2 linked regions of the Coturnix japonica genome follow. The protein of the gene in region 2 purifies or fractionates together with the protein of the main gene of each other region. This does not show direct contact. Links are inferred from orthologs where the notes say so. Each region holds a gene or a part of one and is shown on either strand. Other genes may lie near its edges.

The links.
Region 1: the proteins of SRSF4 (region 2) and LARP7 purify together in Homo sapiens (affinity purification with mass spectrometry; 3 studies listed by BioGRID and IntAct, with this or other methods). This does not show direct contact. The link is inferred for Coturnix japonica from reciprocal best matches to the Homo sapiens genes SRSF4 and LARP7.

Annotation. Positions count from the first base shown.
Region 1 is NC_029519.1:51,156,614-51,160,423, forward strand, and holds part of LARP7 (la-related protein 7), read right to left. Parts: intron 3,384-3,810; coding exon 3,265-3,383; intron 801-3,264; coding exon 641-800; intron 1-640. UniProt on the Homo sapiens protein: RNA-binding protein that specifically binds distinct small nuclear RNA (snRNAs) and regulates their processing and function.
Region 2 is NC_029538.1:2,451,079-2,455,412, forward strand, and holds the start of SRSF4 (serine/arginine-rich splicing factor 4), read right to left. Parts: upstream 2,886-4,334; 5' UTR 2,839-2,885; coding exon 2,732-2,838; intron 115-2,731; exon of another isoform or gene 1-114. Other genes in the region: MECR (enoyl-[acyl-carrier-protein] reductase, mitochondrial), read right to left, coding at 3,986-4,149, 4,260-4,326. UniProt on the Homo sapiens protein: Plays a role in alternative splice site selection during pre-mRNA splicing. Represses the splicing of MAPT/Tau exon 10.

The sequences.
Region 1 (3,810 bases), on a different chromosome or scaffold from region 2:
AACAAAATAAGAATTTAGAACACCAGAGTAATTACAGGACAAAGAATACATTACAACGAGTCTCCTTTTTTAGTGTAAATGTATTTCTAAAAAAGCATAATACAGCCATTAGTTATTGAACCTCCTAAAAAAATAAATAGATTAACTGGAAGGTAGGTGTTAAAGCATAACCTTGCTGAGAGTTTGGTATCTTTCATTTTAAATTCTTGCCAGTTATCAGAATGTTATAGTCCTAAGGCCAAAATGTGCCTTAAGTTCTATAGTCTAGATCTAGGGTAGTGATGAAACCAGTCTCAAAAGAAGAGAATTAAATTGATCAGAGCAAGTAAAGCAACTATTTCACTCTATACAGTGGCTTAAGAACACTCACTATTTTACTAATTCCATTACAGTCAAAAGTTAAGACTTATAGGAAATAAATATACAATATATAATAATAAGAAGTCTGCTCAACAGCTACAAAGACACTTAAATTTTTATCCATAAAGCTATTACAATACTACATGATATACATAAAAGATATGACCTATAGTCAGCCACTGTAGCTGTAAAGATATACATTTGTCTCCTTCCACTAATAAAAAAAACTGGTAACAAACAAAAATACCACACAAAACAACAAATAAGCACCAAGACTTACCAGTAAGAATTTCATATTTCCAGTTGTTTTTTATCTGTAGGTCTTTGTGAGACTTCATGACTGTCTGTGCATCCTCAGGAGTATTAAAACGGACATGGCATTCTGTGTCTCCTTCTAGCATGTCAACATAAGCAACATCAGCCAGCATTGCCAAAGCATCCTATCAGGGTGTGTGAGAACACAGACTTCAGAGTACAGAAGAGTGGCTATTTTGACCACACAATTTGTAGAACAGCACTCATTTTTCATAGAAGGTTATGGAGTAGAAAGTAGTAACAATTTTTGAATCACTTGTCTAATAATTTTGAGTCAATATATTTTCATAAGATGAGCCCATAACTTTAAGACAGCTATTAACCTCTCATTGTGCTCCCAAGAACTATTTTAAGCAGTAATTCCTACAGATATTTCTTTTTCCTAAGAACAATTTTGACTAATGGAACACTAGTTTTGAAACAAAACGGACAATAACTATATCTGTACTAACATTCCTTCAAAAGAAAATAATAAGTGTTGTAACACTGAAAAGCGTCATTCCAATAGAAAAATATTCAGGGTCTTCCTACATATGAAATCCACACACACAGGTTCCTTTAAGGCAGATAATCTAAAAAGTAAAAAAAAACACAAAACAAAACAACAAAACAGTCCTTCCTATCTTTATGAAGTGATCTCTGCCTGAAAATTTTCACTAACAGCTGAAGGAGGAAGAGTCACACATGCTCTTTCAGATGAAGTACTTCACTTGTAATACCTGCTGTTAGGGAAATTAACTAAAACCACACATTCCTAGTCCATTTTGTTCACAGCAGGCAGCTCAAGCCGCTACTGTTCAAGAATTACTTGCTTTTAACCCCATCCACTACAAAGCACAACCTTAAGCAAAACAAAACTAAGCACCAAAATTGTTGAGATCCTTTGAGAATCAAAACTACTGTTCATTCTGATAACCCAAAGTCATCGTGTTTTGGTTTTTAAATTAAGACTCACACAACACATAAGTTTCTCTCCCCTGAGAAACAGGGGAGCAAATGGAAGTAGCACAGCAAAAAACTAAAATATCAAAATAACATTAGAATTGCACTGAAAAGATCTTTCAGGTATGTAGAAGTTCCCCATGCCTGTCATGCAAGAAGAAATACTGGAAATTTACTAAGAAAAACCTAAATGCATTGTCTGGCGGCAGCAGTGCTGTAGATATGACAGACCTGGTGGACAGACAAAGTAAAGGCTTTTGCTGAAGCGTTAAACATTTCACAGAAGCAACTAGTATAGCCACAAGTCAGCCAGGGAATGTCAAGTATAGTTTGCAGTTCCCTCTGCCAAGCTGAGAAACAGCTGGAGCATCCTGAGGATTGTTGTTTGTTCCAACTACAGATGTATTTTACAACTGTATTTCTTCCTAAAAATCTTTCCTCATTTGTTTGGAGATATTCTGTATAATATTTTGCCTTATTATGGAAACCACAACAACTATTAACAAGAATAAAGGCCATGCCAATCTTGTTATGTCTTTACTTTCACTGAAATGTTCTTCTTAAACTAAAGAAAAAAACTAAATTTGTTTTATTTGGAAATACCAGACTGGAAGTTTATGATTTCAGCAGTAGCTGAAAATGAGCTCTGCCCTACCTGAGCATAATGTGTTATGTGACAACACAAACTCAACTACATAAAATGTACTTTGCAGTCAAACTGAACTGGCCTTAAACGTTACAGTGACAACTACCACATTCTCAGTGCCTCCAGTACTCAGACGACTGCCTACAAATACCAAGGCAGACAAGACTGATTAAGGTGAAACCTCATGTATCATCAATTCCTTTTCAGTGAAAAATACCCTTCAAACCTTGCTAGTATTTATGCATACATTCAACTTCACACACTTGCAAGTAGAAAGCTCCCAACAATGTACAGTTAGATATCTAAGTAGTATGGTAAGCTACCTCAGAACTTGTGTTTAGATCCATTCCCATTATAAGTGGTCTGCACATTTATTCTAACATGAGTTAAAACCAAATGACAACTTTCTCATACAATATGTTTTCTTAACCCCAAATTCCTGTTGTTAAAAACAAACTAACTAACTAAAACAACAAATCACCACATACCGAAGCAAAAACAATTTACCACTATGGATTCCTTCATTTGATTTGTACCAAAACTAGTGGCACAATTACATACAGAAAAAGGTGCACCCAACAACATCAAACTCCTATTCCTGAAACGGAAGATTGGTCTCAGCAGTGATTTACTTTTAGCAGTATAACATTAACCACATTTTTCACACAGCAAATGAAAAGACAGAACAAGAAGGGCTGGAGGTAGAGGTGACAATTACTCATCCTCCAGAGCATTATTTATTTCTGCCATTATTTTCAGCCTTGGTTGAAGCACTCAAAAGGCTACATCTTGTTTGAAACATTCTCTTCACCCTATTTTGCCATCCTAAATTCTTCCATTAACAGGTACTAGAGAGGAATCCGAACACAGCTACAGGTAATCAAACAAACAAACAAAAAAATATCGTTAAAATTTGTTTAAATCGTATTCCATATTCAAACATTTGGGTGGCACTGTAAGAGGAAAGGCTAACAGCTACCCTGAGGTTACAAAGGCATTACCTTGATCTGCTTCCTGCCCGGCAGGGGCTCAGTGCTAATGATCTTCACAATTACTCCACTCACAAACTGGGGCCCCATTGTGTTAGCCTTGACAGGAGGGGCACCATCTTCACTGGTGGCTGATGGATTGGAAAAAAGGAGAGAAGAAATTTCACATTTATCAGTTTGGCAAGCCAAAATCTACAAAAGCACAGAAGCAACGTGATGTACACAGAAATGAAAAAGGAACATATTTTAAAATCGTGGATCCAGATTCCTCTCTAATGTAATAACATAAAAGAAAAAAAAATCGTAGCTTCACAAGCACCCTAGAATATTTTTTCTTCTATTCATCACAGTTAATAACCAAATCCTGAATCTATAGTGATTTAAAATAAACGACAAGTCTGTTATCGAAGTTCAATTCAATTTCAATTGAATTCAATTCAATTCACTAAATGGGAAAGGAAAGAGGATCCTGAGGTGGGGATGGGAGGAAACAATTCCATTTCAGAAAAATATACTAGTAGATCCAAGAATATGCAGCTTAACTTCTAGCTATAAACC
Region 2 (4,334 bases):
AAGCTCGAAGCTTTCGGCTTTGATCTCTGCTCCTCAACGCATTGCAGGAGTTACATCCCTCCTCTTACAAGGATTTCTCCAAGGCGAAGCCATGAACACCAGAAGCTGCTCAGGGTGATGCAGGGCAGGTAAGTACACAGACAGAATTATTTGTTAAAGCAAGTATGATTGCAAATTAGTCTCACCGCCAGCAAAAGCTTCCAGCTTTCAAGTTATTACTGCTGGTTTTTCCTCAGAAGATAAAAAAAAAAAAGCAGGCTGAAAAGTCCAATTTTCTGGTCACTTAATACACACAACTGCCGTGCACAGCTCCAGATGTCCGTGAAGTCCTGAGTAGGAAAATATGTGAGAACTATATGAGCATAGAACCAGAAACTTCAAACAGGAATGGAAGGAGCTACAAGGAGGAGATGTTCATTCTCTGGCTGTTCCCTCAGGTAAACGTTGTTCAAAGACTTTGAACTGCAAGCTTAAGTTACAACTAGCAGCAAGCAAGACCCAGCAAAGCCTTCAGAACTCCACTGTATCACATTCCAGTCTCTCTTACTGCTGAAGCACTTCAGCTTAGCTGCTAAAATACTGACAGGCTGATCTCCTGCAGGCTGAGAACTGCCAACAACCCACCAGCTTCCAGAAGAAACTGAAAGACTCTACAGAATGAAACACCGTGCAGTCATTTTTAATCGTTTGCTAAGCGCTACTAAAAATAAGCTGACAAGAAAGGATCATTGGGCAAACAAAGCGATGGAGCAAACACTGAACACGAGGCAAACTCGAGCAGAACAGCAGCAAATCTGATGGTTTGAGTTGATGCCCAACTGGAATCGAAGCACGAGCCACCAGGAGACCTGCAGCTTCAGGATAACACCCTAAAAAGAGTTCATCCTAGAAACACATGCAGAGCTCTATCTAACCCACAGCTGGAGTAACCTACTATAGAAACAGCAGGCAGCAAGGCAGATGATCACACCAAGTTTCCTGCATCCCTCCAGTTATCCACAGCCTTTGAACTCACCCCAAGTGAACTTTAGTGTCACATTCAGGGTACCTGCACTGTAGGTATAGGCTGTGTCTTCCCTTTCACTCTGCAGCCCGTTGCAGTTGGCACTCAGGGTATCCTAAGTGATGCTTCCAGCTTTGGCCACCTGAGCTCAATGCAGCTCTCCATTGAGCACTTCTAAATGCATTACAGGGCCGATTCTTAAAAGACATTTCTCAATACTGAAAGAGGACAAGCCCATTAGGTGTATCAGAGCTATTTGGTAGATCTATATCTGCTAACGAAGGATGTTCTCCCCCACTGACATCTGCCTATATAGCAGAAGCATTTCCTACAGAGGTTTTATCAACATGAAAACAAGATACTCCTTGAGCTTCAACAATGTGCAACTGAATATCTGAGCAGGCTAAAATATTATCCGGCTAAAGCACCAATATGTGCCCACTTCTTTGTTTTAATAACTGCTTTGATTTGTCTTATGAACCTGTTATACATCCACCTCCCAGTGGATGCCCTATAGAGCCACACAGACCCTAAGCCATCCCAACCTCCAGCTCACCCCAACGGCACCAGCACCACCTGTCCCGCCCCCACCCCCCCCGTTACAATGGAAACCAACACACCTCAACCCCACCATGTAACCCCCAAACCCCCTCACATCCCCCCAAAACCCCTCACAACCCCCCAAAGCCCCTCAACATCCCCTCCATCCCCCTCCACATCCCCCCAACCCCCTCAACCCCAACCCCCCCAACCCACAACCCCTCAAACCCCCCTAATCCCCCAAACCCCCTCATATCACTCCAAAGCCCCCCCACACATCCCTCCACAACCCCTCAAACCCCCCTACATGCCCCAAACCCCTCACACCCCCCCCCAAACCCCCTAAATCCCCCCAGACCCCCTCACATCCCCCCAGTCCCCCTCACATCCCCCCAAACCCCCTCACAAACCCCCAACAAACCCCCTCACATCCCTCCCAAACCCCCCTACACCCCCCCAAGCCCCTCACATTGCTCCCCACGCCCCCTAACACGCCCACCCGAACCCCCCCACAATTCCCCAAACCTCCCACATCACCCCTACATCCCCCAACCCCCCATCCCCCCAACCTCCCCCAAAGCCCCCCCAAAACCCCACACACAACTCCCAAAACCCCCTCAAACCCCCCAAATCCCCCCAAACCCCCCCAAAAGCCCCCAAATCCCCTCATACACCCCAAACCCCCCCATAATCCACCCCAATTCCCCCTACATCACCCCAAAAAACTTCCCTCACAATTCCCCCAAACCCCCCCACACCCCTCAGACCCCCCCACATCCCCCAAACCCCCCAATCCCCCTCATAACCCCCCAAGCCCCCTCAAACCCCCCCAAACCCCCTTCAAACCCCTCCAAGACCCCCTCAAACCCCCCATAACCCCTAAACCCCCCCCCCCGCAACCCCCCAAGCCCGCCTCATAAGCCCCAAAAACCCCCCACATCCCCCCAACCCCATCACCCCCCCCTCAACCCTCTCACACCCCAAACCCTCTACATCCCACAAACCCCCACCCCCATCTCCCCAAGCCCCCAACCCCTACACCCCCCCCAAACCCCCTTCCCCATCCCTCCCATCCGCCACCTCCCCTCACAGCGAGGCCCAGCCCTCCTCACAAGGCCGCCGCTTTGCGTAAGGCCGGGACCGAACCGCTCTGTACCGACCAACCGTGCCGAACCGAGCCGTGCTCACCCGTTCTTCAGATCCACCTCGAGGATTTTGCCGTAGCCCTTGAAGAAACGCTCCACATCCCGCTCCCTCGCCTGGTAACTGAGCCGGCCGATGTACACCCGCGGCATCGCGCCCGGGGGGGGGGCGGCGCCAAACGGCGACGTAACGTCACGACGTCGCGCAGCGCTGAGTGTGGGGGGGGAATACGTCAGCGTAAGCCACGCCCACCTGTCTGCCTCATGGCTCTTAAAAGGGTCATGGCAGAAGTGGGCCCACCTCATGGCTCTTAAAAGGGGCATGGCAGCAGTGGGCCCACCTGGTCTAAAATACTGACCCCAGTGTTAGGGTCCAGGGGGTCACCTCATCATGGGATTCCACCCCAATGTTAGGGGCCATCTCACCATGGGGTTCCACCCACACCGCAGCAGACTGTTCTAACGTTAATTAAATGCCGCGGATCTCAGTGCCTCATTCTTTTACTCCCTATCAGAAGACCCCAAAAGCCTGATTTTTGCCCCCAAGAATGTGAAGAGGGACTGTAATTGTTGTTCAAAACAAGAAACCCATCCAAGCACAGAGCTGCCCACTCTGCTCTCCATAAGGTCCTGCTCGACGCTCCAGGTGAGCTGACCTAACCCTAACACTAACCCCAAACCCCACAGTGCTAACAGGGCAAAGCCCACCAGCGCCTCCCTATAGGAGCTATGGGATTTCCCAGCCCTGAGCTTGGAACAGGGAGAGTTTACAGGAGCTGTTGGAGCAACAGAATGAGCACATCAATGTTTATTGGCAAAGAGTCTTACAAAAATAGATATATCAAGGCATTGATTTCCAAGAGGTTTCCCTGCGTGTTCCACCATCAGAAGTTGGGGTGGTTCAGTAACAGCAGTAAAACTGAATTCAAGTCCAGGGCTTGGCAAAATCACATTGTTGGGGTGAGCCCAGGGGGTAGAAAATGTACCTACATTGTCCCACATAACTCCAGCCTGCATGAATGCCCCAGCATTGAATGTAGGTAGGGAAAAATTAACAATAAAAAAAGGAATAATAATACTAATATCTTCAATAGTGGTTTTGCAATTCAATCTGCTCCTTTCCCTTGAGATGGCTGAGGGAAGAGCCCAGGCTTTCAGCTGCAACAAAGCTAAAATGGGACCCAAGTCTCCCTCCAGAAGCAAACCCAGCCTCTGTTCAGTGCAGCCTCTGTAAAATTCCAGAGGCTTTTAATACCTGAAATAAGAAAAAAAGGAAAAAAAAATAACAATTTTTGCAAGGTCAGAGCAGGAGGATCTGCTTGGAGGAGGTGAAGGGCTGCATAGAGGCTGCCAGGGCCTTCTTGAAGTCCTCCAGGGGGACTGTAGTGCAGGTAGGAGCGCTGAGCTGTCCCTCCCGCACCATCTGGCACAGGGTATCCACCATGCTGGCCATGCTCTGCTTGTCTGTGAAGGAAGAAGGTGGCCCCTGTCACCAGACCTGCCTGCCACCCTGAACGCTGACCCAACCCAAACCCAACCCCAAAGCATCCCTAACCCCAAAGCCTGCAGCTCACCATGGTCCTTCTTCCACTGGGTCATCCAGAAGCCGCGCAGCCTCACGTCCCTGAAGATGAAGGCACTCTGCAGAA